Anolis sagrei: one gene and its partners. The protein of the gene in region 4 purifies or fractionates together with the protein of the main gene of each other region. This does not show direct contact. Links are inferred from orthologs where the notes say so. Each region holds a gene or a part of one and is shown on either strand. Other genes may lie near its edges. The genes, in order: AAK1, REPS2, AP2A1 and RALBP1.

The links.
Region 1: the proteins of RALBP1 (region 4) and AAK1 purify together in Homo sapiens (affinity purification with mass spectrometry; 3 studies listed by BioGRID and IntAct, counting the BioPlex papers as one, with this or other methods). This does not show direct contact. The link is inferred for Anolis sagrei from reciprocal best matches to the Homo sapiens genes RALBP1 and AAK1.
Region 2: the proteins of RALBP1 (region 4) and REPS2 purify together in Homo sapiens (affinity purification with mass spectrometry; 3 studies listed by BioGRID and IntAct, counting the BioPlex papers as one, with this or other methods). This does not show direct contact. The link is inferred for Anolis sagrei from reciprocal best matches to the Homo sapiens genes RALBP1 and REPS2.
Region 3: the proteins of RALBP1 (region 4) and AP2A1 purify together in Homo sapiens (affinity purification with mass spectrometry; 5 studies listed by BioGRID and IntAct, with this or other methods). This does not show direct contact. The link is inferred for Anolis sagrei from reciprocal best matches to the Homo sapiens genes RALBP1 and AP2A1.

The regions. Positions count from the first base shown.
Region 1 is NC_090027.1:20,520,114-20,527,340, forward strand, and holds the start of AAK1 (AP2-associated protein kinase 1), read right to left. Parts: upstream 3,003-7,227; 5' UTR 2,582-3,002; intron 1-2,581.
Region 2 is NC_090023.1:90,116,179-90,123,474, forward strand, and holds the start of REPS2 (ralBP1-associated Eps domain-containing protein 2), read right to left. Parts: upstream 3,012-7,296; 5' UTR 2,764-3,011; coding exon 2,566-2,763; intron 1-2,565. UniProt on the Homo sapiens protein: Involved in ligand-dependent receptor mediated endocytosis of the EGF and insulin receptors as part of the Ral signaling pathway. By controlling growth factor receptors endocytosis may regulate cell survival.
Region 3 is NC_090026.1:28,906,357-28,913,922, forward strand, and holds the start of AP2A1 (AP-2 complex subunit alpha-1), read right to left. Parts: upstream 3,011-7,566; 5' UTR 2,920-3,010; coding exon 2,853-2,919; intron 1-2,852.
Region 4 is NC_090024.1:64,796,785-64,803,792, reverse strand, and holds the start of RALBP1 (ralA-binding protein 1), read right to left. Parts: upstream 3,023-7,008; 5' UTR 2,757-3,022; intron 2,565-2,756; exon of another isoform or gene 2,483-2,564; intron 1-2,482. UniProt on the Homo sapiens protein: Multifunctional protein that functions as a downstream effector of RALA and RALB. As a GTPase-activating protein/GAP can inactivate CDC42 and RAC1 by stimulating their GTPase activity.

The DNA of each region.
Region 1 (7,227 bases), on a different chromosome or scaffold from region 4:
GGAAGAAAGGAACAGGAGGGATACAGGAATGACAGGAAAATGGTGGAGACGGGATAGGGGAGCTCTGGATAGATGTGTTATACACACACACACACACACACATATATGTGCGCATGTGACTGAATGTGTATTTATTTGTATATGTATATATATGTATTTATGTATAGGTTTATATGTATTTATGTAGTGTGAAAGGATCTGTATGTATAGAGGTGTGTATGTATTTATACATGTATGTATACATGTGTGTATGTGTATGTATATATTTATGTGCATATAAATATGTAGGTATATGTATGCATAGATTTATGTGCATGTGTGTATATTTATTTATTTACATCCCACTTTATCTCTCCATATGGAGACTCAACATGGCTCACAATTAAAAATATTACAATACAACTTAAAATGTACTAATGTACTAATAATAAAACAGCATTACCATTATACATTATTATATGTTAACAGTATATTTTATATATTAGTACTGTTACAATATTATTATTATATTGTATTATATTATATTATTACTATTATCTGTATACACAACATATTGTGTTCTTAGCATAGCACAATGTTAGTATTATATATTATTTTACTGTACTATACTGAAATATTAGTCATATTATATATAATTATTATATTATCTAGTATTACATTGTGCCGTATACCACTATATATATATATATATATATATATATATATATATATGTATATATGTATATATGTATATATGTATATGTATATATGTATATAACACTACTATAACACTACTAGTATAGGACACCATTCGTATTATATAATATATTGTACTATTTAATTAGTTGTAGTCTAACATATTATATTACAACATTATTAATATTAGTACTGTTATATTACAATGTATACATGTACAGGTTTGTATATGTACAGGTTTGTATATGAATATATTAATATGCATATGTGTATGTATGTATATGTATGTATGAATTGATAGATACATAGATATGTATTAGGGGGTCTCGCCTATATGTATTTGTATGTTTATGTGTGTATATGCATGCATGCGTGTGTATATATCTATTTATATATATGTACATGTGGGTGGATTGGTATGTTTATGTGTGTATATGCATGCATACATATTTATGTATGTATATATACATGTGGGTGGGTAGGTAAATTATGTTCTTATGTGTATGTATATATGTGTGAATAGCTAGCTAGATAGATATGTATTAGGGGTCTCCCCCTGCCTGTATGTATATGCACGTTTATGTGTGTATATGCATGCATTTATGTATGTATATATACATATGGGTGGATTGGTAAATTATGTGCTTATGTGTGTGTGTGTATGTATGTATGTATGTATGCATATGTATCTGTGAATAGCTGGATAGATATGTATTAGGAGGTCTCCCCCTCCCTGTATGTATTTGCATGTTTATGTGTGTATATGCATGCATGTATATGTATATATCTATTTATGTGTGTATATATACATGTGGGTGGATAGGTAAATAGATAAATAGATAGATAGATAGATAGATAGATAAATAGATAAATAGGTAAATAGGTAAATAATAAATATGTAGGTGGGTAGATAAATAGGTAAATGATAAATAGATAGGTAAGTAGGTAGATAAATAGATAAATAGGTAAATGATAAATAGACAGACAGGCAAATAGATAGGTAGGTGGGTAGACAAATAGATAAATAGGTAAATGGTAAATAGATAGGTAAATAGATAAGTAGGTGCGTAGATAAATAGATAAATAGGTAAATGATAAATAGATAGACAGGCAAATAGATAGGTAGGTGGGTAGACAAATAGATAAATAGGTAAATGGTAAATAGATAGATAGGTAAATAGATAAGTAGGTGGGTAGATAAATAGGTAAATGATAGATAGATAGGTAAATAGATGTGTGCAACAGTCTACATGCATAGTCTTTGTGAAATTAAGATGGGTAGGTGGGTAGATAAATAGGTAAATAGGTAAATGGTAAATAGATAGGTAAGTAGGTAGATAAATAGGTAAATGATAAATAGATAGGCAAATAGATAGGTAGGTGGGTAGATAAATAGGTAAAAAGCTAGGTAAGTAGGTAGATAAATAGATAGGTAAATAAATAGATAGGTGGGTAGATAAATAGATAAATAGGTAAAGGATAAATAGATAGAAAGGTAAATAGGTAGGTGGGTAGATAAAATAGATAAATAGTTAAATGATAAATAGATAAGTAGTAGGTAGGTAAGTAGGTAGATAAATAGATTGATAAATAAATATGTAAATGATAAACAGATAGGTAAATAAATAGGTGGGTAGATAAATAGATAAATAGGTAAATGATAAATAGATAGGTAGGTAGGTAGATAGATAAATAGGTAAATGATTAAAAGATAGGTAAATAAATAGGTTGGTAGATAAACAGGTAAATGTTAGGTAGGTAGATAGACTGGTAGGTAGATAGGTAGGTAAATAAATAGATAAATGATAGATAGATAGGTATAGATAAACAGGTAAATGACAGATAGATAGGTAGGTAAGTAGATAGATAGGGATGATGCCTTGGGGCTCCCTGGCTTCCTGCTCACCTGCTGGGGGGGCTGCTGGGCTGCGCTGCCCGCCTGGGCGGCCTCCTTCCGGCATCGCTCCCAGGCCCTTCCGCCGCCACTTCCGCCTCGGCTTCTCGCTCAGCGACCGGGGCCGGCGGGGAGGAGACCATGCCGAATGAAGGAAGGAAGGAAGGCAGGCAAGGAGGAGGCCCAGTCCCCGGCTTCTCCTGCTCCTCGTGCCCGCCTGCCTGCTTCCTTTTCCCCCTCAGGCTTCAGGAAAGGCAGGCTCCGCCGGTGAGGAAGGCCTCACTGAGGAGGAGGAGGAGGAGGAAGAGACGCTCTCGCCGCTTCCACAGAGCCAGCCGGGCGGCGGGAGGGGCCCCGCTGCTAGGAAGAGCCGGAGCGAGGGGGCGGAGCCAAGTAGGAAGGGCTACCTCAAGCCCCGCCCCTTTCACCCCTTCCTGCCCGGAAAGCGCCGCCTTTCCCCTCATACAAGCCCTTTCATCAAAATCTTTTCAGTCATGGCGACACAAAGCAGAAGAATGATAATTATCCCTAGAATATGATAATAATAATAATGAGAAGAACAACAACTTATTTGGTTTTCACTCCTTTTTTCCCACCCCTCCCCCCCGGAAAATAAGACGTTCGCGACGCGTTGCATCCTGGGAGGAGGGGTTCCCGGACTCCGAGTCGTTTGGCTCTGCGGGGGACTACAAGCCCCGATAGGCGTCGCGCGCGACATAGTGCTGCGCAGGCGCAATGGAGTGGTGTGCTCTGAATGGCAGGATTATGTGTCATCTGTTGGCTAGAGCCGGTTTTGGAGTCCCAGCCTCCACCAAAAAGGAACTGGGCCCAAAGCTTAATGGTGATAACAATACTAATAGGTTATTATTATTATATAATAGGTTTATTTCCTGCTTTGATCTTAGGAACCAAGACCCAAAGCAGACCAGAAATCTCTAATTATAATGATAATAATAATAATAATAATAACTTTAATAATGTTGCAATCCCAGGTGACAGCAGGATTGAAGAGAAACAACTGGAAAAACTGACACATGAGGATTTAAAGATCGAACTACAAAGACTCTGGCACAAGCCAGTCAGGGTGGTCCCAGTGGTGATTGGCACACTGGGTGCAGTGCCTGAAGATCTTGGCCTGCACTTAAACACAATCAGGGCTGACAAAATTACCATCTGCCAGCTACAAAAGGCCACCTTACTGGGATCTGCACGCATTATTCGCCGATACATCACATAGTCCTAGACACTTGGGAAATGTCCAACGTGTGATCCAATACAACAGCCAGCAGAGTGATCTTGTCTGCTTGTGGACTCATCTTGTTGTATGTATAATAATAATAGAAATAATAATAGATTTAATAATAATTTAATAATAATAATAATAATAAACACGGGTGTCTGTGGTGGAGGAAGCACATAAAATCTAGGATGAAACAGTCCCCTTATGAAATAATAATAATAATAATAATAATAATAATAAACCTTTATTTGTACCCCGCTACCATCTCCCAAAGGACTCAGTGCAGCTTACAAGAGGCTGAGCCCAAATACAATAGTAAAAACAACAGCAACAACAAACAGCAAAATAACTAAAAAACAAAACAATAACATTAACAGCACACAACGACACAATTAAAATCAATGGCAGGGCCAAATGTAATAATTAAAAATTAAAAGTGCTGGGCATGACCAGGTGGAGTGTTTGGTGGGGGGGGGGGGCATGCAGATATCTTGGATCTCTGATAAAGTGCGTTGGGACATAATGCTAGGAGTTTCCTTATTCTGGGAAGGCGCACTGGAACAACCATGTTTTCAAGCTCCTCCTAAAGATTGCTAGTGATGGGGCCTGCCTGATGTCCTTAGGGAGGGAGTTCCAGAGTCGAGGGGCCACCACCAAAAAAGCCCTATCCCTCGTCCCCACCAATCACGCTTGCGATGCAGGTGGGATCGTGAGCAGGGCCTCTCCAGATGAATGAAGAGATCGTGTGGGTTTGTACACAGAGATGCGGTCACTTGTGTGGTAGGCAGTATGGGGTTGGTGGAGGACACTGGCAGAGTTCTTGGACATGTTCTTGGTGCTCCCCATGAACCTGCAATGTCATTAGAGGGAAGGCCATGAGTGTCTCCTGAGTGGTGGGAGCTGTACCTGTTTGTGGAGGAAATTTTCTCTGTAAATGAACAAGCAGGAGCTTGTTTCTGTAAGTCTCTGCAAAAGGCCACCCTGCTCGGATCTGCACGCGTTATTCGCCAATACATCACACAGTCCTAAACACTTGGGAAGTGTCCGACATGTGATCCAATACAACAGCCAGCAGAGTGACCTTGTTTGCTGTGGACTCATCTTGTTGTGTTTCAAATAGTAATACTACTACTAATAATAATAATAATAATAATAATTCACTGGCATGATTCACTGGAACTTATGTCACAAGTACCACCTACTAGTAGTAAAGAATTGGTGGGATCATAAACCTGCAACAGGAGTGGAAAATGAACACGCAAAAATACTGTGGGACTTTCAGATCCAGACTGACAAAGTTTTGGAACACAATACACCAGACATCACAATTGTGGAAAAGAAAAAAAGTTTGGATTATTGATGTCGCCATACGGGTGACAGTCACATTGAGGAAAAACAACAGGAAAAAACTCAGCCGTTATCAGGACCTCAAAATCGAACTGCAAAGGCTCTGGCATAAACCAGCCCAGGTGGTCCCAGTGGTCATCGGCACACTGGGTGACGTGCCAAAAGATCTCAAAGGGCATTTGGAAACTCTAAAAATGTAACAAAATCACGATCTGTTAACTGCAAAAGGCCACCTTACTTAGATCTGCGCGTATCATTCAAAAATGCATCACACAGTCCTAGACGCTTGGGAAATGTTCAACTTGTGATTTTGTGATACGAAATCCAGCATACAGATCTCATTTGCTGTGGCATACTGTGGTTTTGTGTCAGCAAATAATTAATAATAATAATAATAATAATAATAATAATAATAATAATAATAAATTACCGGTAATAACAAATGTAGTAACAATAACAATAGTCATAATATTTATATACAACAACCTACCTTTTGCCGCCCCCAGTGGCCACATCGGGAATTGCTCTCCTTTGAGATTCAGCTTCTTCATGCAACCACCCTTTGCCTATGGACGGTCCTTCGTCGCCCCCAGTGGCCACGTCAGGAATTGCATGGGTTGTTTTTTTCCACTCAAAAACCCTCATTCACTAAAAATCTAGGTTGAAATTGTCCCCTTATGAAAGCTTTCACTGGGGGGTGGGCGGTCTGGTGTCTGTGGAGAACATTGGCAGGCATTTAGACATGTTCATGGTGCTCACTATAACTTTCAATGTTTGAGGGAGGGCCTTTTGTGTCTCCTGATGGCTGGGAACTATAGCTGCTTGTAGAACTTTGTGTAAGTGGACTCTCTTGCCACATACATATTTCAACTTTTATTATGTGTATAGATAGAGAAAAAAATGTGCTCATTTTATGTCAAAACTAAATCAGGTATCTGCGACTGAGAATAATATGAGTCGACAATGTGATGTGGTAGTAGCCAGCCTCTCCCCTCCCAACATCCCCGTTGCCTCGCCACTATAAGAGGGTTTCACGAGAAAATGCAGGAGATTTTTGGAAGGAATTTGTCATTATAGGAATTCTAGTTCACCTACATCCAGAGAGCACTGTGATTGCAAACAACAATGGATCTGCACAAAATTTTGCTGCGCAGAAGCGGATTTTAGCCAAGTCCCATGCATAAGACACACAGGCAAGAGGAAAAAGGAACAGAAAAACTTATCAGCAGAGGCATAAACTTGCAGTGTTGCATACAAAATCAAACAGTACAACAAATTTACATAGTCCTTGTAAGTAACACAGAACAAGGCTTCTTCGTCTTCATTCAAATGAGAGAACAAAACATAAACCTTGAGTAAATAGCTATTCCACCATAGCAAAGAGCATCGCTGTTGAGCATAGCAGCATTACAGCATATTGCTTCTCTTCCTCGGAGTAGCGTATTGCTTCTCCAAACTGTATTCTAAAATCCATACAGTTATACCCCACCAGGTGTGGCCCAAACATGTTTATTTATCGTGTTATCAGAAACCATACCATTGTGTTACAATTCTAACAGAACAAAACAAACACACAGATTAAAAAGAAAAAGAAAAAAAACCACACAGATTTTGCAAACTTTGTAGTTGGTTAAATGTCCGTCGACCAAAGTTCTTGATTTGTTCCATCCGTAGATCATCCAAGCCAGCTGCTTTGCCATTCTTACATTTGTTGAGAGCCATGTCCAATTCAGTAGATGTAAAAGGTTCATGGAGGTTGTTGACTGACCTACATTACCAGCTGCACATAATAATTAACATCATAAGATTTTTCTTTAGCACACACTTGATCCTGCTACGACTTACTGTAGCAAATTTGGCATGCATACCCAATATGCCCAAATGTGAATGCTAGTGGATTTTGGGCTTTGACATTTGTTAGTTGTACTGGGATTTATAGTTCACCTGCAGTCAAAGAGCACTCTGCACCCTATCAATGATGGACTGGGACCTAACTTGGCACACAGAACCCCAGGAAGAACTGAATGTACTGGAGGGATTTGATGGGACTGACCCACCATGGTGGGAGTTG
Region 2 (7,296 bases), on a different chromosome or scaffold from region 4:
TACACAAACCTGATTTCATGCACAAAATTATTTAAAGTACAGTATAAAATTACATTCAGGCAACATGTCTAGGCTATATTTGAAGCATAAATTAGTTTCGTATTTAGACTTGGGTTCCACTGCCTAGCTATTTCATTATGCGTGTAATCGTATATGCAAATACAGGGATTCCAAAATCCAGTAAAACCTGAAATCAAAATACTTCAGGTCCGAAGCACTTTAGAGAAGGGAGATTCAACCTGAATAGATATATTTATTTCAAAATCCGAAACCCAAACACTCCTAGTCTCATGTATTTAGGAGAAGGAGGACTCAGGGACCAATATAACCCAACAACAATATAACCCAGAATATCAAAGCAGAAAATCCCACATTATCTAAGTGTGGATTCAGATAACCCAGTTCAAAGCAGATATTGTGGGATTTCCTGCCTTGATATACTAGGATATAGGGCTGTGTGGAAGGGCCCTGAGTCCACATAACCATATATCCCAGTTCAAAGCAGAAAATATAGGGTTTATTCAGCTGTATGGGAGGGCACTCAATCTGTATGGCTATATACTCCAAAATCGGAAATCCAAAACACGTAGGGAAAAGAGAGACTCAACCAGAACATATTCCAAAAATGTGAATCCAAAACACCTTCTAGTCCCAAACATTTTGGAGAAGGGAGACTCAACTTGTAGATGTATATATTCCAAAATCCAAAACACTTCTGATTACAAGCATTTCAGAACAGGGAAACACAACTTGAATACATATATTCTAACATCCAAGATGCTTCAGGTCCAAATTATTTCAGAGATGGGAGACTCTGCCTCAGGCCTGGGCAAACTTGGGCCCTCTGGGTGTTTTGAACTTCAACTCCCACCATTCCTAACAACCTCAGGCCCTTTCCTTTCCCCCCTCAGCTGCTTAAGTGGCCGAGGGGGGAAAGGAAGGGGCCTGAGGCTGTTAGGAATGGTGGGAGTTGAAGTCCAAACACCCGGAGGGCCCAAGTTTGCCCAGGCCTGCTCTACCTTTATTGATGTTCAAAAGGTAATGAATCCCCTTTTCAAAAGAGAAAACACTCAAGGGAAGGAAAAAGGCTTTCAGAACATAGAGGGAATTCATCCAGCTTATTTATTTTCATCCAAATCTCAATTGGAGCTACTTTTTCTGTCCAAAGAGAACTCATTTAGGGCCCTTCCACGCAGCCCTATATCCTACAATATCAAGGCAGAAAATCCCACAATATCTGGTTTGAGCTGGGTTATCTGAATCCACACTCAAATAATGTGGGATTTTTCTGCCTTGATATTCTGGGATATAGGGCGGTGTGGAATGGCCCTTAGAAGGTGCCTCTCTATACACTAATGCAGTTTGACACTCCTTTCACTGCTATGGCTCAAACCTGCAGGAATCGTGGAAGTTGCAGTTGAGTGAGGGAACTCCAAGGATTCCAGAGCATTGAGCCATAGAGGTCCAAGCACCCTTCCACACAGCCCTATATCCCAGAATATCAAGACAGAAAATACCATAATATGCTTTGAACTGGGTTATCTGAGTCCACACTCAGATAATGTGGGATTTTCTGCCTTGATGTTCTGGGATACAGGGCTGTGTGGAAGGGCCCCATGTGGTACTAAGAGCCCCCGGTGGTGCAGTGGGTTAAAACCCTTGTGCAGGCAGGACTGAAGACCGAAAGGTCGCAGGTTCGAATCTGGGGAGAATGTGGATGAGCTCCCTCTGCCAACTCCAGCTCCCCATTTGGGGACATGAGAGAAGCCTCCCACAAAGATGGTAAAACATCTGGGCGTCCCCTGGGTAATGTCCTTGCAGACAGCCAATTCTCTCACACCAGAAGCGAATTGCAGTTCGTCAAGTGCTTGTCCATTATGCCCTGCCTCATGTACATAGGATGAATTGTTGGAGGCTACAGACAATGCCGTTGCTGTTGCCCGTTTTTGGTCAAAAGACATTTAGATGCCTGCACACTTTCTATTTTATCTGTTTCATACTAATTCATGCAATACGATACGAAATAAATAAATAAAGTGGCACCTGGCATGAAAAACAATTCTACAGTTTATTTATTTATTTATTTGTCACAATTTTCTCCCGCCCTTTTCAGCCCAAAGACGACTCAGGGCGGCGTACAGACTGGCAACAATTAGATGCCGAACACACATAAATACACCATTTAAAACAGGTTAAATCACGTAATAAAATTAATTTTAAAACAATTTAAAACTATTAGAATCAATGACTTCTGGGTTGAAATCCATGTCCATTTGCATCGTTAAGCCGTTCCATATTCGTTCACAATACTGGGTTTATCTGGTGTAGAACAGGCATGGGCAAACTTCAGCCCTCCCTCCAGGTGTTTTGGACTTCAACTCCCACCATCCCTAAGAGCCTCGCTTAAGGGTCTGAGGGGGGAAAGGAAGGGCCTGAGGCTGTTAGGGATGGTGGAAGTCCAAAGCACCTGGAGGGAAGGCTAACATGCGCCCATGCCTGGTGTGGATGCCCTGGGGGGGGGGGGGGGGTGCGCTCTGCACATGTCCAGGAGCACTCTTGCCTCACCTGGAGGAGGGCCTCGGGAGGGAGCTGCGACGCCCGGAACAGCTCGGCCACCTTGCTGCCGGAGGCGCCTGCCTCGGAGCCCGCGGCGTTCCCGCTGCCGCCTCCGCCGCAAAGGCAGAAGAGCTCCGCGTAGCGCTGCTGCTGCTGCTGCTCCCCGGAGGAGGAGGAGGAGGAGGAGGAGGAGGAGGGGGCCTCCATTGCAGGGGCAACGGCGCCCCCAAGTCCTGCCCAAGAGGCTCCGCCGCCGCCGCCGCCTCTGCAGCCGCGCTCGCCTCCTCTCCCTCCGCTGTCCTCCCTTTCTGCGGCAAAAACAGCGGGAGGGAGGCGGCAAGGCAGCAGCAGCAGCTGCAGGAAGAGAGAAGGAGAAGAGGAAGAGGAGGAAAAGGGGGAAGGAAGGAAGGAAGGAAGGAGGAGGGGAAGGAGGCTCCCTTCCCCGAGGCACGTGCCTCCACTTCCTCCTCCTCCTCCTCCTCCTCCTCCTCCTCCTCTTCTCCCACTTCGTCCTCCCTGGACTCCGCAGAGGAAGGCTCAAGTTTTGGAGCAGGGAAGCTTGCGTGGCTCAAAGGCTAGGGCAGGGTCTTCCACCCTTCCTCATGTTGTGGTGACCCCCCCCCCCCCAACCATCCGTAATAACATTATTTTGGTTGCTCCTTCATAACTCATTTTGCTACTGTTAGGAATCCTTATGTAAATAGCTGATCTGCAGGATGGATTTTCATAAACTAATATGCTTCCTCCTGTTGTGGTGATCCCCAACCACAACATTATTTTCCTTGCTATTTCATAACACTAATTTTGCTACTTTGATATGAATTGTAATGTAAATATCTGATATGCAGGATGGATTTTCATTTGCTGGACCAAACTGGGCACAAATACCCGATACGTCCACATTTGAATACTGGTGGGATGGGGGGGGGGGGAGGATTGATTTTGTCCTTTGGAAGTTGTAGTTGCTGGGAATTATAGTTCACCTACAATCAAAGAGCATTCTGAACACCAACAATGGAATTGAACCAAACTTGGCACGCAGAACTCTCTTGACCAACAGAAAATACTGGAAGGGCTTGGTGAGCATTGAGCTTGAGTTTTGGAGTTGTAGTTCACCTACAAGGAGCCCCCAGTGGTGCAGTGGGTTAAACCCCTGTGCTGGCAGGACTGAAGACCGACAGGTCGCAGGTTCGAATCTGGGGAGAGCGCAGATGAGCTCCCTCTATCAGCTCTAGCTCTTCATGCGGGGACATGAGAGCAGTCTCCCACAAGGATGGTAAAAACATCAAAACATCCGGCATCCCCTGGGCAATGGCTAATTCTTTCACACCAGAAACGACTTGCACTTTCTCAAGTCGCTCCTGACACGACAAAAAAAAAAAGTTCACCTACACACTGTATAATCCAACAATGATGGATCTGGACCAAACTTGACACAAATACTCAATAATATGCCCAAATCTGAACACTGATGGAGTTTGGAGGAAATAGACCTTGCCATTTGGGAGCTGTAATTGCTGGGATTTATAGTTCACCTACAATCAAAGAGCATTCTGAACCCCACCAATAATGGAATTGAAACAAACTTGGCACTCAGAACTCCCTTGACCAACAGAAAATACTGGAAGGGTTTGCTGGGCATTGAGCTTGAGTTCTGGAGTTGTAGTTCACCTACATCCAGAAAACACTGTGGACTCCAGCAATGATGGACCAAACTTGGCACAAATACTCAATATGCCCAAATGTGAACAATGGTCGAGTTTGCTGTAAATAGATCTTAACATTTGGGAGTTGTAGTTGCTGGGATTTATAGTTCACCTACAGTCAAAGAGCATTCTGAATCCTACCAACGATAGCATTGAGTTAAACTTCCCACACAGAATCCCCATGTCTTGAAGGGACTCACTGGTGTGAGCCTCCCTCCAGCCTCACACGCTCTCCCTCATCCACACATGTGCACCAAGCTGCCATTGAGAATGTCTGCTGTTCCCTCCCCACTTGGAGTCTTAGTAACAGCCCTCCCCTTGGCTGAGAGGCCTTGAAGGGACACACTGGCACAAGCCTCCCTCCAGACTCACATGCTCCATTGCCTGCATATGTGTGCCACACAGCCATGCACCAGGCACGCCTGCTCTCCCCTCCCCCCCCCCCTTGGAGTCTCAGAAACAGCCCTCTCCTTGACTAAGAGGCTGCCTGAGAGGCCAGCCAATCACAGGGGAGGAGAGTTTTTGGTGGGAGGATTTGCCATCTGTTTTCCAAAAAGGAAGAGAAGGACACTGGAGAGATCTTCATCTTTCACTGCCAAAAGGGTTCCTAAGGCCATCAGAAATATATGTTTTATGATGGTCTTTGGTGATCCCTCTGAAACCCCCTTGGGACCCCTAGGTTGAGAAACGCTGGGCTGGGGAATCCTGAGAAGGCGAAAAGACGGGTGCATCTGCACTCTAGAATGAAGACAGCTTGATAGCACTTTTAACTTCTATGGCTCCCCATGGAGACCCAAGAGTTGCAGCTTTGGTGGGGCGCTATGTGGCAGGAAAGGCTAAAGAGTTGGTTAAATGACAGCTCCCACAATTTAGTTGTATTGAGCCATGCTAGTTTGGCATCAAAGTGCAGTAATTCTACAATCTAGATGCAGCACGTTTGTTCCGGCAAACTTGGGCCCTCTAGGTGTTTTGGACTCCAATTCCCACAATTCCTAATAGCCCCAGGTGATATAGTATTATCTAAAGCAGTAGTTCTCAACCCGTGGGTCCCCAGGTATTTTGGCTTACAACTCCCAGAAATCCCAGTCAGTTTACCAGCTGTTGGGGATTTTTGGGAGTTGAAGGCCAAAACATCTGGGGATCCACAGGTTGAGAACCACTGGTATAGACTGAGGGAATCCCTTTCCCCTGGCTCCTGAATGACAGATGGAATGTGTCTATTGGTTATCTTCTCCCTCTTTCTGCTCTCATTCTGATTGGCTATGTAGAATGGATACTTTACAGGTGCATGCCTTTGTTTCATACTTCTGCTTTTTTACATCTGTGTATTGACACCTTTCTCTGCTTGGGTGTGTCAGGAGAGATGTAGTACTTGGAGATTTCCCCCTCTCTTGTGAACCCTAGAAAAGATGGAGTGGCTGAGACCCAGTTATTTACTATTAAAAATGTAGTTATTATTTTTGTAAATAAAACTTGTGTAACTTTAAAAATTGAACTCTGCAACTTTGAATCCTAAACACTAAATTCTTTTCTGACTACAACACTTCACACTCTGTCTGCTGTGAGCTGAATGCTCAAACTATAAGTATCATGTTTGTAGTTTTGAATGCTCTGCTGTATTTTTGGGAGTTGTCCCTAACAACTAGAAGGCACATACATTATGACCCACCATCTATGCAGGGGATATGTTCCTAGACTTCATTTCAATACATGAAACTGTGGATATTAACAAACGCCATTGTTTTTAATGGGACGAATGAAGGTTATACTGAGAAGAGGGTGTAGCTTGTATAGGAGCTCAAAGAGGGTCTGTGATTCTAAGTTAATAATGGAATGATAGGTTCTGAAAATATGGTGTTGTACATACACACAGAGAGAGAGATTTCAGAAATCTGGCATGAGGCATGCACCAAACCCATTATAGTACAGTATCCATGGGGGATATGTTCCCAGTGTGTATGGATATGCAAAACAGCAGATAATAGCAAACCCTATTAAAATAAAGGACTCAAGAATACTATAGAGTCGTAGGACCTAGAAAATGTCTAGAATTTACATTTTCTTGCACAGTGATCCAACAGATATGAAGGTCATACTGTCTTTGCTTTAGATCAACCTGTTTGGAAGGTTATTCAATTCACACACAAATCTACATCTCAATTTGGAAATCCAAAGAAATGGATTTAGACACAAGAAATGGGTGTAATTTTTTTTTTCTTCGTGGTCTCTGCGAATTCACACTTGTGGAGAGACTGCGCCTGCGCGGGCTCCAACGGAAACTTCTACATTTTAAAACTTTCAAGTTTTGGCGGTAACCCCGCCCAGCCCCGGCAGGGGATAAAAGGGCGCCCCGCGCACACCGATCCAATTCCTGTTTTTCCGCCGCACGGCTCGCTTCGGAACTTCGTTGGATAGAGATTCTCAGATTTCTTCGAGTTGTTTGACTATATTATGTCAACAACTCGCTTTAAAAGATGTGTGAATTGCCCGAGGAAGATTCCTGATTCGGACAAGCACACTCTTTGTCTTTTGTGTCTCGGCGAGGCACATATCACTTCTTCGTGTCGTCATTGTCAATCTTTGACGGCACAGTCCCGAAAAAATCGGGTCCATCGGCTTCGATACCTGCTCTACCAGCAGACGTTGGCTCCGGTACCTTCAACATCGACATCGGCGTCGACGTCGGCCGCGGTATCCAGGCCTTCAACTTCGACTTCGGGCTCGAAGTCGAAGGTAGCATCGACATCAAAATCTGTCGATCCCTCGGCGGACGCCGAGCCCCGCCAGACCAGGGAGAAGAAGGCTGCGCAAAAGAGGCCGAGAGCAGCTATGTCGACAACCTCCAAGGCCTCGGTGTCGGTAGCTTCTAAGGCGGCAAAGCCTACAAAGCAGAAGGCTCCATGCACAGTCACAACCGAGACTGTACGCATCCGGCACTCTTCGGCCAGCTCTGTGGCATCAGTGAGATCGATCAGGTCCACGAGGTCGACATCAGCGACTCCGCCATCTTCCACGGCGGTTCGCATTGCCTTTC
Region 3 (7,566 bases), on a different chromosome or scaffold from region 4:
TCCCAAGAAAATGTAATCCTGTACTATGGAATGTGTCCATTTCCCTAGTTTTGGATTTTTGTGTATGATTCACTTTTTGAATGCCCTTGTTGTGGGAACATGGGAATGAAGAAGGGCATTGAAATCCACACATGAACAAACCAGGATGAGAGTTTGTTCCTTTCTTCCTGCCTCATGAGCCCTTCTCACATTCTCCGTTGACAACTTTTTTTTGCTTTTTTATTGCACCCCACTTTTTCTCCCTCCAAATATCAGAAATCAGGTAAAAACCAGACACTTAATGATAAAATTGGAAGAGATCACAAAGGCAATCCAGTCCAACCCCTGCGATGTAGGAACACATAATCAAAGCACTCCCAACAGATGGCCATCCTGCTTCTGTTAAAAAGCCTATAGAGCAGGAGACTCCATCCCACTCTGAAGCAGAGTTCCACTATTGAACAGCTCTCATGGTCAGGAAATTCTTCCTAATATTCAGGTGAAATCTCATTTTCAATCATTTGAATCTACGGCTCCACTGTGTCCTAGTCTCTGGAGCAGCAGAAAACAAAGCTTGTCCACTCATCAACATGACATCCTTTCAAATATTTAACCTTGGTTCTCATGCCCCTTTTTCCTTTGCAACCCTCATATTCTCCAGCACCCACTCCCTAGTCCACCTCCACACAAGCCCCATCTGCACTGACCATTTAATGCAATTCAGACCTAGCTTCAAACTGTGGCATCGAGAAAGTCCCACAAAAGTGTGTGAAAGAAAATCCTCTGTATAGTTTGTCTTATCACCATCTGGACCAGGGTTTCCTTTGTGTATTCATCTGCACGACGAAACCACTTTCTTCAATGTCAGTTTGAAACTGTGTTAAATAGTCAGTGGAGATGAGACCACAGTCTACAACCATACAACAATGTCCATCTTCCACATTGGCACCTGGTGGCTCGCTCTGTTTTTCAAGTTAGTTCCAAAAAGCTGCTTTGCTATAATAATAATAATAATAATAATAATAATAATATACCATCTGCCTGTGACAAAGAATTGGTGGAATTACAAGCCTGAAAAAGTTACGAAAATAAACACATCAAACAATTCTGAGACTTCCAAATTCAGACTGACAAGTTCTTGGAAACACAATACTCCTGACCTCACAATTGTGGAAAAAAACCAAGTATGGATCTTTGATGTTGCAATCCCACGCGACAGCAGGATTGATGAGAAGCAACTGGAAAGGCTGACACGATGTGAGGATTTAAAGATAAAACTGCAAAGACTCTGGCACAAGACGGCAAAGGCGGTCCCAGTGGTGATTGGCACACTGGGTGCAGTGCCTAAAGACCTTGGCCTGCACCTAAAAACAATAGACGCTGACAAAAATACCATCTGTCAGCTGCAAAAGGCCACCCTACTAGAATCTGCACACATTATTTGCCGAAACATCACAGAGTCCTAGACACTTGGGAAGTATCCGGCGTGTGAGCAAACACAAAAGCCAGGATAGTGATCTTGTTTACTGTGTACTAATATTATTATGTATCAAATAATAATAATACTTTATTTATATTTCACCCTATGTCCCCAAGTGAACTCCTAAGCCAAACCTGTCACCCAACCTACAGCTGACACTGTAGCCAACTCGTAAGTCCAACTTATCACCTTAGAGCAGGTATGGGCAAACTTTGGCCCTCCAGGTGTTTTGGACATCAACTCCCACAATTCCTAACAGCCGGCTGTTAGAAATTTTGGGAGTTCAAAGCACCTGGAGGGTCAAAGTTTGCCCATGCCTGCCTTAGTCAAATCTCCCCTTGCCAGCCAGCCAGCCTGAACTATATCCACACTGTAGAATTAATGCAGTTTTATGTATTGTCTAATCACCTCTCAGGCACTCTCAGGTCATTATAGTGTATGCTAATCAAGGTGGTCAGTTGAAACATTCACACCTAGCTCCAGCAGACAAGAGTCCTTTGTCCCACCCTGGTCATTCCACAGATATATAAACCCTTTTTCCTACTTCCAACAGACCTCACTATGTTTGAGGATGCTTGCCATGGATGCAGGCGAAACGTCAGGAGAGAATGCCTCTAGACCAGTGGTTCTCAACCTGGGGTCCCCAGATGTTTTTGGCCTTCAACTCCCAGAAATCCTAATAGCTGGTAAACTGGCTGGGATTTCTGGGAGTTGTAGGCCAAAAACATGTGGAGACCCCAGGTTGAGAACCACTGCTCTAGACCATGGCCATATAGCCCGAAAAAACCTACAACAACCCTAATGCAGTTTTGATCCCACTCTTAATTGCAATCACTCAATGCTATCCAGTCCTGGGGAAGTTGTAGTTTTGTGAGGCATATACAGCTCTGGTGCCCCAACAAACTACAACTCCCAGGATCCCATGGCAGTGAAAGTGGGGTTAAAAGCGCTATAATTGTGCAGTGGAGACACAGTTGTGGAACTAGCTCAGTTTGGCAAAAACTTGGGACTCCCAGGGCATCCTGGGAGCTGTAGTTTCACAAGGTCTGTCAAAAAAAGGGGTGCTGGTGCCTGGCCAAACTACAACTCCCAGGGTCCCAAGCAATGGCAATTAAAGTGGGATGGAACTGGATCAACTCCACAGTGTGGATGCCCTCACAATTTTTCTCCAAGAGCAAGGCTGGAGCCAAGGGGCCCCCAGGAGCCCCTCCCAAGGGCCCTCCTTGGCCTGGCCTGGCCTAGCCTGGCCGTCAACCGGCTTCCTGCCTCCTTCCCGGCCGCAATCCCACCCGAGGCCCCTTTCCGAGCCCCCCTTCGGCCCTCTCCCATTCCCTCCTTCCTCTTCAACGGCCCCTCCCCTCCCGTTCTCCTCCAGCCTTCCCCATTTGCTCACAGTTTCGGATATCGGAGATAAATACGGCCAGGCCCCGCATCCCGTCTCCCTTGGAAACGGCCGGCATGGTGGCGGTGGCGGATCGGGACCCCGGCGACGCTCCGTTCCGCTCCGCGCCCGAAACCTGGCCCAGCAGCACCGAACCGACCAGGGACTATCCCATTGGCCGCTCTCTACGTCCGTCGTAGGCGATTTTGCATCCCATTGGCTTGAGACCCCGCCTGTCAAGTCCATCCTTGTTCCTATTCACTGAAGGCAAAGCATCCTCCTAGATGATTGGCAGAGAGGATTAAATCCCGCCTATCCCTCTCCCTATTGGCTCCGCCATGCCCCTTATGTCAAATAAGTCCCCTGCCGTCCTGCATTTTCCATTGGGCGTAGGTTAGGACATGTCCCGCCTATAGTTCTTTCCCTCCCGCCCCTTTGTAGACAATCTCTTCTTCTTAGTGGTTCTGAGGAATGTCCTTCAAGGGATATCCCGCCCTCCTTCTCTCCAGCTTCTTGCGAAATCAGCACGCTTAGTTCCCGCCCCACTGATGGACAGTCAACACTTCTTCTGGGTTCTTATTGGAGGAAGAGCTTCTTGTCATTCAAGCAGCATGCTTCTTTTCATTGGCTAAAAGAGGTGACAGCGGAACGGCGGCAAAAGGAACATTGGGGAGAGGAGACTTGGAGACTGGGCTGGGAGGGGCAGCTGACGTCACGAGGTTTGAGCCAATAGGCGCAAAAGAGAAATGTTAAAGGATGGAAAGGCATGGATTCAAATCCTCTTCCATGTGGTTCGAGTTCTTCTTATCTAAGTGTACTATTATTTCTTCTACATTTATTGTTGTTGATAGTCTAATGTTTATATTATTTAATATAATGTAATATAATATAATTTATTGTATATACATATAATATTTATAATATTATAATGTAATGCAATATAATAATAATAATATATTATTATAATTACATATTTATTTTACATGTAATATTACTAATAATATTTCAATATAATGGTATAGTACAATATAGTAATATTTAATACTGATATTGTACTATGCTAATAATATAATATATTGTATGTATATATATTTTGTAAGCCGCTCTAATTCCCCTCCGGTGTGAGAAGGGCGGCATATAAATGTCATAAATAAATCTATATAAATAAAAATGTAATGTTCGTTTGTGGGATTAATAGAACCTAAAAACCACTGGACAAGTTGACACCAAATTTGGACACAAGACACTAAAAAAATGGATTTCGTCATTTGGGAGTTGTAGTTGCTGGGATTTGTAGTTCACCTACAATCCAAGAGCATTCTGAACCGCACCAACGATGGAATTGAACCAAACTTGCCACACAGTTCTCCTATGGCCAACAGAAAATACTGGAAGGGTTTGGTGGGCAGTATCCTTTGGTTTTGGAGTTGTAGTTCACCAACATCCAGAGAGCACTGTGGACTCAAACAATGATGGATCTGGACCAAATTCTTCACAAATACTCAATATGCCCAAATGTGAGCACTGGTGGAGTTTGGGGAAAATAGAATCTTGACATTTGTGAGTTGTAGTTGCTGGGAGTTATAGTTCACCTACAATCACAAAGCATTCTGAACCCCACCGATGATAGAATTGGGCCAAACCTCCCACACAGAACCCCCATGACCACCAGAGTGGGCCACAGCAATGTGTGGCAGGGGATGGCTACTAAATAAACAATCTTAGTAGTAGTATTTAATAATAATAATATATATTTATTATAATAAATATAATACTTATTTACAATAATAGTAATATTATTTTGAAATTATCATTCCCAATATTGCTTAAAATATTTATTAAGATGAGAATTAGTAAGTTTTTAGTACCATTTTATTTTTTTTAAAGATAAAAAATAGTACTTATATAGAGCAATGTGAAGATATGGCAAGTGCTATCTAGGATCTGTTTCTAGAGAATTTAAATGCCAAACCACTTCTGGGCAAGCTATTTAACTTCAGTAGACTGAAAGCCAAAACCAAGGTCACAACATCTGTTATAGAACTCCAATATGCTGATGACAATGTAGTGTGTGCTATCTCTACAAGCCACTCTAAACACCTTTGCAGAAGCATATGAGAAACTCGGCCTCTCACTGAATATCGAGAAAACCAAAGTGCTCTTCCAGCAGGCATCAGCGAATCCCTCTGCAATGCCAAAAATACAATTTAATGGTGTAACGTTAGAAAATGTTGACCATTTCCGCTACCTTGGCACCCACCTCTCCACAAAAGTCAGCATTGACACTGAAATACAAAACCGCCTGAATTCTGCGAGTGCAGCATTCGTCCAAATGCAGCACAGAGTGTTTGAGGACCAGAACATCCATAGGGTTTACCAAGGTGCTTGTTAATAAAGCTATTGTCCTCCCAATCCTGCTGTATGCCTGCGAAACGTGGACTATCTACAGATGTCACATGCAACTACTAAAACGATTCCATCAGCACTGCCTCTGGAAAATCCTGCAAATCTCTTAGGAAGACAAGCGGACAAATATCAGCGTGCTGGAAGAAGCAAAGACCACCAGCACTGAAGCAATGGTCCTCCGCCATCAACTCTGCTGGACCGGCCACACTGTCCGAATGCCCAATCACCGTCTCCCAAAGCAGTTACTATACTCCCAACTCAAGAATGGGAAACATAATGTTGGTGGACAGGAAAAGAGATTTAAAGAGGGGCTTAAAGCCAACCTTAAAAACAGTGGCATAGACACCGAGAACTGGGAAGCCCTGACCCTTGAGTGCTCTAACTGGAGGTCAGCTGTGACCAGCGGTGCTGCGGAATTTGAAGCACAAATGGAGGGCGAAAGAAAGAAACGTGCCAAGAGGAAGGTGCGCCACGCCAACCCTGACCAGGACAGCCTTCCATTTGGAAACCGATGTCCTCACTGTGGGAGAACATGCGGATCGGGAACAGGGCTCCACAGCCACCTACAGACCCACCGCCAAGACACCACATCTGGAAGACCATCATCCTCTAGCAACGAAGGATTGCCTAAGTAAGTAATTAAGGGTGCTTCTACACCAGGCATGGGCAAACTTGGACCCTACTGGCTCTTAGGAATTGTAGAAGTCCAAAACACCTGGAGGGCCCAAGTTTGCCCATGCCTGTAGAATTAATGCAGTTAGACACCACTTTAATTGCCATGGCTCAATGCTATGGGATCCTGGGAGTTGTAGTTTTACAAGGTCTTCAGCTTTCCCACGCTGCTGTTGCCTCATCAAAACTACAAAATCCGGGATTCCATCGCAATTAAAGCCATGCTAAACTGCATTAATTCTGCAGTATATAGAAACATAGAATAATAGAATTGGAGAAGACCAAATGGGCCATCTATTCCAACCCCCTGACATGCAAGAAAAGAACAGGATGTAGTTGCACCCTGAGTCAACCCTTTCCGTTGTAAAAAAAAATAACGTAGCATCGGATTCGGCTGATGCTACTTGTTCAAAACCCTCAATGTGAGGATGTTTTTATATGACAGGTTTTGCAGGAAGTATTTAAATGGGAAAACCGTTCCTCTATGGGTGCTGTCATGTATATTTTGGTTCTTAGTTTGCAAAGCAAACAAGCTTTTGATCTTAATCTACAGTAGTTACTTTGTCAGGCATGGAGAGCAAGAAAATGTTGTTTTCTGTCAAAGCTGTTATGTTTACCAGGGAAATCTGTTCCTCTTTAATGCAGAGGCATAGGGTGAAGTACATTAATAGTGCTCATCTACATAGGCCTGTGCAGAAACAAATCTTAGGAAGCACTCCTAATGGTAAGAGGTGTTTGGCAGTGGAATATACTGCCTCAAAGTGTGGTGGAGTCTCCTTCTCTGGAGGCTTTTAAGCAGAAGCTGGATGGCCATCTGTCAGGAATGCTTTGATTGTGTGTTCCTTCATGGCAGAATGGGGTTAGACTGGATTGCCTTTGAGGTCTCCTCTAACTATCACCAGAGTTCCTGGTAGATATATAGGCATAACATTGCAGCCAAATTTAAGATTTTGGTGGCACTGAATCCTCAAATTTTGTCCCTGAGAACTCTTTGAGAGTTGGGTTGCTGTGAGTTTTTCGGGCTGTATGGCCATGTTCTAGAACCATTCTCTCCTGACATTTTGCCTGCATCTATGGCAGGGATCCTCAGAACTTGTGAAGTCCGTTGGAAACTAGAAACATGGGGTTTATATATCTGTGGAATGTCCAGGGTGGGAGAAATAACTCTTGTCTGTTGGAGGTAGGTGTGAATGTTTCCATTTGCCACTTCGATTAGCATTTAATGGCCTAGCAGTTTTCAAGGTCTGGCTTCATACTGCCTAGGGGAATCCTTTGTTGGGATTGTGGATTGTCCCAGAATCAGAAATGTGTGGATCAGGGGTGTCAGATTCATTTACATTGAGGGTCACATCAGCCTTATGTTTGCTGTGGAAGGGCCATTGAATCCATTAATGGAGAATCCTTGGATACAGAGGGCCCACTATAATTTTTTGACATAGTGGTAGGTGCTCTTTTTCCTCAGTTTGAGTCACCAGATTTTATTGAATGACAACTCACATCACTTTTGATTATCTGCCATACAGACTGGGGATAATGGGAATGGCAACCCAACATCACTTCTGGCTCTGAGGATGGGGAAGGGCTAAAGGACATTTTAAAGGCAGACATCGTATCCACAAGCCTTGTATCTAAATCCAAACTCCACTCT
Region 4 (7,008 bases):
GTCTCTGGTAGAGAAGGCGAAAGACCTTGTAAAACTACCACACCACTGTCTGCATAGCATTGAGCCATGGCAGTTAAAGTGGTGTCAAACTGCATTCATTCCACAGTGTAAATCAGGCATGGGTAAACTTCGACCCTCAAGGTGTTTTGGACTTTAACTCCCACAATTCCTAATAGCCAATAGGCTGTTAGGAATTGTGGGAGTCCAAAACACCTGGAGGGCCAAAGTTTGTGCATACCTGGTGTAGTTGATCCCTCAGTCTCTTGCAGCACAAAAAGAAAGCAGGGGAGAAAAAGAAGAGTGCGACAACATCTGGTTTTTATTTTAGTATGTGTTTTCATGGATATAAACCCACTCCTTCACCTGTAGTATGGAGTGATATTAAAGCCTCTTGCAAAAAAGCATATCTATACAAAATACATACCTATTAGATTTTGTGTTATCATATTATTGAGCGCTTTTGTGATCCGCTCCAAGTCCCTTCGGGGAGATGGTGGAAGGAGACAATTAAATAATAATAATAACAACAGCAACAATAACAATAATAAAATAGTTGTGAAAGTAGGCTAGAAGGCAATAGGATCCAGAAAGTTGTATATTATTATTATTATTATTATTATTATTATTATTAAGGTAAAGATTTTCCCCTGACATTAAGTCCAGTCGTGTCTGACTCATGATTTTCTGGTACGTTTTCCTTCTCTCCATGTTGTCAATTTGTCATTATATTGTTCTCTGCATAGTTTGGTATTAGTAAAGTTTTCTCTTTGACATTAAATCTAACAGTTTCCAACTCTGGGGGGTGGTGCTCATCTCAATTTCTAAGCTGAAGAGCCGGCGTTGTCCGTAGAAACCTCCAAGTTCATGTGGCCGGCATGACTCCATGGAGCGCCGTTATCTTCCCGCCTTAGCAGTACCTATTGATCTATTCACATTTGCATGTTTTTGAACTGCTAGGTAGGCAGAAGCTGGGGCTAACAGTGGGAGCTCATGCTGCTACCTGGATTCGAACCTACAATCTTTTGATCAGCAAGTTCAGCAGCTCAGCGGTTTAACTCACTGAGTCACTGGGGCTCCTATTATTATTATTATTATATGTATTACTTGCTGTACCTGGCACGTGTTACTGTGGCCAACCTTCCCTCCCTCTTTCTCTCCTTTTTCTTTCTCTCCTCCCTTCCTTTTTCTTTCCTTCCTTCCTTCCTTTCTTCTCTTCCTCTTCCCTTCCTTCTCTCCCTTTTCTTTCCCTTTCTCTTTCTCCCAGTTCTTCCTTCTCTACTTATTCTTGGATTGCAACTCCCAGCAGTCCTCCTGATCGATCTATCTACCTACCTATCTATCTCTATCAAATCTATCTGGAGGATTGCTGGGGGTTGCAGTCCAGGAATAGAAAATTTGAAATATGCAGGGATTGAGATCCAAGGTGAAGAAAGCTTGCATCTTGCTTGCATCTTGGAAGCAGTGCATGTGGATCATCCTCCTCTCCTAAAGGGCCTGGTCTATGGGATGCTGGAAGTTGTAGTCTAGAAGAGAGTGTGGATATGCTATTGTGTGTTTTGTTTGCTGGGGAAGTCATTTTTGCGCATGTGCTGTAGCAATGTCATTTGACACCACTTTACTTGCCATACTGTAGAATCGTGAGGTTTGTAGTTTTCTAAGGTCTAAAGTCTCTCCTTTTTGCTTTTTTGGCTTTTTAAGTCCCTTCTGCTGTGTTTTTATGAGTGATGGTCACTTGTTGGCCTGATAGGTGAATTGTGTCCAAATTTGGTGTGAATTCGTCCAGTGGTTTTTGAGTTATGTTAATCCCACAAACGAACATTACATTTATTTATTTATTTATTTATTTATTTATTTATTTATTTATTTATTTATTTATTTATTTATTTATTTATTTATTTATTTATTTTATATATATATTTTATATATATATTTTATATATATATATATTTTATATATATATATAAAATATATATATAAAATAAATAAATTTTATATATATATATATTTTATATATATATATATATATATATATATATATATATATATATATATATATATATATAAAATATATATATATATAAAATTTATTTATTTTATATATATATTTTATATATATATATAAAATATATATATATATAAAATATATATATAAAATATATATATAAAATAAATAAATAAATAAATATTAATAAAATAAATATTAATAAAATAAATATATATAAAATACGTATCTTCTCTCCCAAAGGAGACTAACGCTAAAAACCATACCGAAAATATCATACCCGTTGTCCAAAATTTCAAAATCTACCAAATACATCTAGTTCTGTTCACATACAGGTTGCTGGGATGATGGCCAATACCACTGCCATCCTAACCCCCTTGAAGCCCTACTATTGCCTATTGGCAGGCAACAGGATTGGTGTATTACGAAACAGAAGCAGGCTGGTAAATTTCATTTATTATCACTGCATGTTCTACTCACCATGAAACCAGCTGACATTGGGAAGTTGGTGGGAAAAAGACAAGAGTTGGAATGGAAACCCTGCGAGGGGTTCAGAGTGATTCAATTCCCCGCCAGGGCGCTAGAGGGCGCGAGGCCCTCCTCTTGCGCGTGCGCAGTACAGGGGGCGCCTCAGCGGCGGATCAACGGCCGCCCACATTCTCGGGGGGGGGGGGGTGGGAGTGAGGGGAGGGAGTGGTTTAAACCCCGGTGGGAAAGAAAGCGGCGGGGGGAAGTGGGGAGCCTTAGCACCGACCTGAGGAAGAAGAGGAGGAGGAGGCGGGGGTCCCGTCGTCGCTGACGCAGGACGGCTCTGCTCCCTTCCGGCGTCAGGGCGGCCCGCCTTCAGGCCCCATCCCGCCGTCGCCTGTGGAGTAAGCCTGGCGCGAGGCGAGCAGGGGGCGGCGGCGGCGGCTCCGAGGCGCATGCGCGGACTCCTTCCGGCTTTTCCGGGCAGAGGCCGGAATCAGGCGGCGCATGCGCGTGGGGAGGAGCTGTCGGAAGAACCCGAGAAGTGAGCCCTTCGAGAGGAGGCCAGAAAAGGTTGGAGGGGGCACAAGTGCGCATGCGCACTTCCTCCTCCTGCTCTTCCTATGCTTACATAACGAATGAAGTGTGGCTCCGTGTTGCCCTACGCCCCGCCCCCCCCTTTCTCCCTTGTGATGCATCTTGGGAAAGGAAGTCTTAACAAGGCAGGGAGTGCAGTGGGGTTTCTGTTGGAGCCATAAGTATAGGCAGGGGCAAACTTGGGCTCTCCAAGGTGCTTTGGACTTCAACTCCCACCATTCCTAACAGCCTCAGGCCCCTTCCATTGGAAGGGGCCTGAGGCTGTTAGGAATGGTGGGAGTTGAAGTCCAAAGCACCTGGAGGGCCCAGGTTTGCTCATTATTATTATATGTGGGGTCTATTCCTAAGTAAGCTGTCGAAATGTATACATGGCAGAGGGTACGTTTTAATGTCATTTGACACCACTTTAATTGCCATACTGTAGAATCGTGAGGTTTGTAGTTTTCAAAGGTCTAAAGTCTCCTTCTCTGCCAAAGAATGCTGATGACAAACTACAACTCCCAGGGTTCTATAGCCTTGAGTCCTAGATGTTCAAGTAATGCCAGGCTGCATCCGTTCTACAGTGTGGCTATTGCTTGAATGTAATTTACCAAATATTTAATATATATTAATATATTTAAGCTTAAATATATACTTAAAGTGAACCTTACAAACTGTGGCATGGGCACCGAGAACTGGGAAGCCCTGACCCTTGGGAAGCCCTGGCCCTCTAACTGGAGGTCAGCTGTGGCCAGCAGTGCTGCAGAATTCTAAGAGTCATGAATGGAGGGTAAAAGGGAGAAATGTGCCAAGAGGAAGATGCATCAAGCAAACCCTAACCGGGACTGCCTTCCACCTGTCCTCTCTGTGGAAGAATATGTGGATCAAGAATTAGGGCTCCATAGTCACAGACATTTAGAACTGGGAAGCCCTGGCCCTTGAGTGCTCTAACTGGTTTGTAGTTTTCTAAGGTCAAAAATCTCGCCTTCTCTGCCAAAGAATGCTGATGCCCCACCAAAGTACAACTCCCAGGATTCTATAGCCTCGAGCCCTGGAATATACTTGCAGGAACACCTTGGCAAGCGAGAGTCCAAAAGTGGCAGGCTAAAACCCAGCACCTCAATCCATGGCTGATACCAAATGAGAGACTCCCTCCTGGGCACACAGAAGACTAGGCGACTTGGAAAGCACTGAACAGACTGCACCACGGGATGCAGAGCCAACCTTAAGAAATGGGGCCACAAAATCGAGTCCATGACATGTGAGTGTGCAGAAGAATAAACCACAGACCACCTATTACAATGCAGCCTGAACCTTGCCATGTGCACAATGGAAGACCTCCTTATAGCAACATCATAGGCACTCCAAGTGGCCAGCGACTGGTCAACGGAAATTTATTATAATATCACGTTTTTAAACTTTGTGTTTCTCACATACATCACAACTGTACCCTTGGTTTGCTGCTGATACGATAAAAAATAAATAAGCCCTGGAAGTTCAAGTAGTGTTAGGCTGCATCCGTTCTACAGTGTGGCTGTTCCTTAAATATAATGTAGTTAAATATTAATATATTTAAGCTTAAATATACACAAAGCAAACCTTAAAAACTGTTGCATGGGCACCGAGAACTGGGAAGCTCTGGCCCTTGAGCGCTCTAACTGGACGTCAGCTGTGACCAGCAGTGCTGTAGAATTCGAAGAAGTATGAATGGAGGGCGAAAGGGAGAAATGTGCCAAGAGGAAGGCGCGTCAAGCCAACCCTGACTGGGACTGCCACCTGGAAATGGATGCCCTCACTGTGGAAGAACATGTGAGTCAAGAATAGGGCTTCACAGTCACAAACACCAAGAATTGGGAAGCCTTGAAAGGCCATCATACACGGACAACGAGAGATTGCCTAAGTAAGTGAGTATAGTTTGGTTGCACCCCACATTGAAGGAAGGGGCTATTTATTTATTGTGTCAGAAGCAAGTTGAGAATATTTATGTATTTTAAAAATGCAATCAGAGTTAAAAACTTGACATTATGTTAAATTTCCTTTGACTAGAAACTGGCCACTTCGAGTGCCTCTGGCGCCACTGTAAGAAGGTCCTTCGTTGTGCATGTGGCAGAGCTCAGACTGCATTGTAGCAAATAATCTGTGGTTTTCCCTTCTCCACACCCACGTGTCGTGAACTCCACTTTGTGGCCCCATTTCTTAAGGAAGGGGCTGAGTTTGTTACAGTGCTGTTATGCAGTTGTTCCTAACCTCTGGTCCTCCCAATGTTTGGACCCCAACTCCCAGGAGCCCCAGCTGGCTTGGCCAACTGCCAGGGATTTTGGGAGCTGAAATCCAAAACACCTGTAGAGATCAAAGGTTAGGAATCGTTGGTGAAGTAGTACATTTTGAAAGTGTTGGTACTCATTTCCACCAAAGAGCAACTAAAAGTTAAAGTGTGTATGGTAGACAGACAAGACTGCTGCATTGGCAGTGCCTTTGAATACCCCTATTCTTTGAAAATTGCCTGTTGAGGACCATGTAGCTCCTTAGCTGACAGGCAAAAAGTTGGGCAGCTCTGCTTTCTGATCCAAGCAAACCAGCAAGGGAATGTGAATTTGCATTGGTTTTTGTGACATTCAATTGGCTAGTATCAGTCTATGGGTGCATCTATACTGCAGAATGATTGCAGTTTGACACCAGTTTTAACTGCCATGTCTCAGTGTTCTGGAATTCTGGCACTTGTCATTTGGTGAGGCAACAGCAGTCTTTGCCAGAAAAGACTAAAGACCTTGTGAAACTGCATCTTCCGTATTCCATAGCATTGTGGCACAGCAGTTAAAGTAGTGTCAAACTGCATTCATTCTGCAGTGAATTTTATCTGTGGCCTCCCTTGCAGGCCCTTGGGATCTGTTTACCTTCCTCCCTATTTCTCAAATGTTGGTAAGCCCACACAACATTCAGTCAGCTTCTTATGACTACACTTGGGCTCCCAGCCAGTTTCATAAATTAATAAAAGGGAAGGGCTGACAGACAGCATTTAAAAGGGAAAGGCAACTAATCTGCTCATATTACACCCGGATTTATAAATACCTCCTTTGTTGCTTATGCAGAAGAATACTACTGAGTGTACCCTTGCTCCAACAACTGAGATACAAGTGGCGGTGATCAGGGCAGTGTTTCCAAAACTAGCAAGACTTTTTGTTCACCGTTCATCTTTGCTTGTGAGAAAGCAACTGCTCCTATATATATATATATATATACACACACACACACACACACACACACACACACATACATACACACACACACACACACACTCTTCACTGCTATAGTGACTGGGTTAAAAGGTTTTTGGGGCCAGTGGTGACTTGTGATATTAGCTGAGAGTTAATGGCATTGATGAAGAATGTCAGACTGGGGTTTGGGAGGCTTAAGGTCAAGTCCCTACCTGGCTGTGAAATAGACAAGATGATCTACTTTCTCACCATAATCTACTTTTTCAAGAAGGTTGTGACAACAAGGAAGAGGAGGATAGTTGTAATCATGGCTTTCAGTTTATTGAAAGAAGGGTATCATCTTTAGCATCTAGAAAGACATTGTAGATGCTAAGGATGGTCATTGAATTGTTGCACAATGCTGTGGCATTCGACCAAGCAATTTGCAGAACAGATGGATGCAGTGGGCTGCCACTTTGCTTTATGCACAGGCTTTAAAAATAGCATAAAAAAGATCTGTAGCCTAATAGCAGGGTTCACCAATTTGTTTTGCAGCAGCCTTTGCTCTTTTTCTGATCTTGAAAGAGAAACTAAGTGTACCAGAAGAGATGGGGCATCTCTCTTGCTGTACTTTTTAAGTGTTGGGATTATTTGTCTGGCCCAAGTCCCCACTTGAGAGTGTGAAGAATCTCTCCTGACTTTTCTCAAATTCTACAATGTGTTTATTCAGTGAAGCTGGAGTATGGGGGAAGATAGACTCCTTGGATT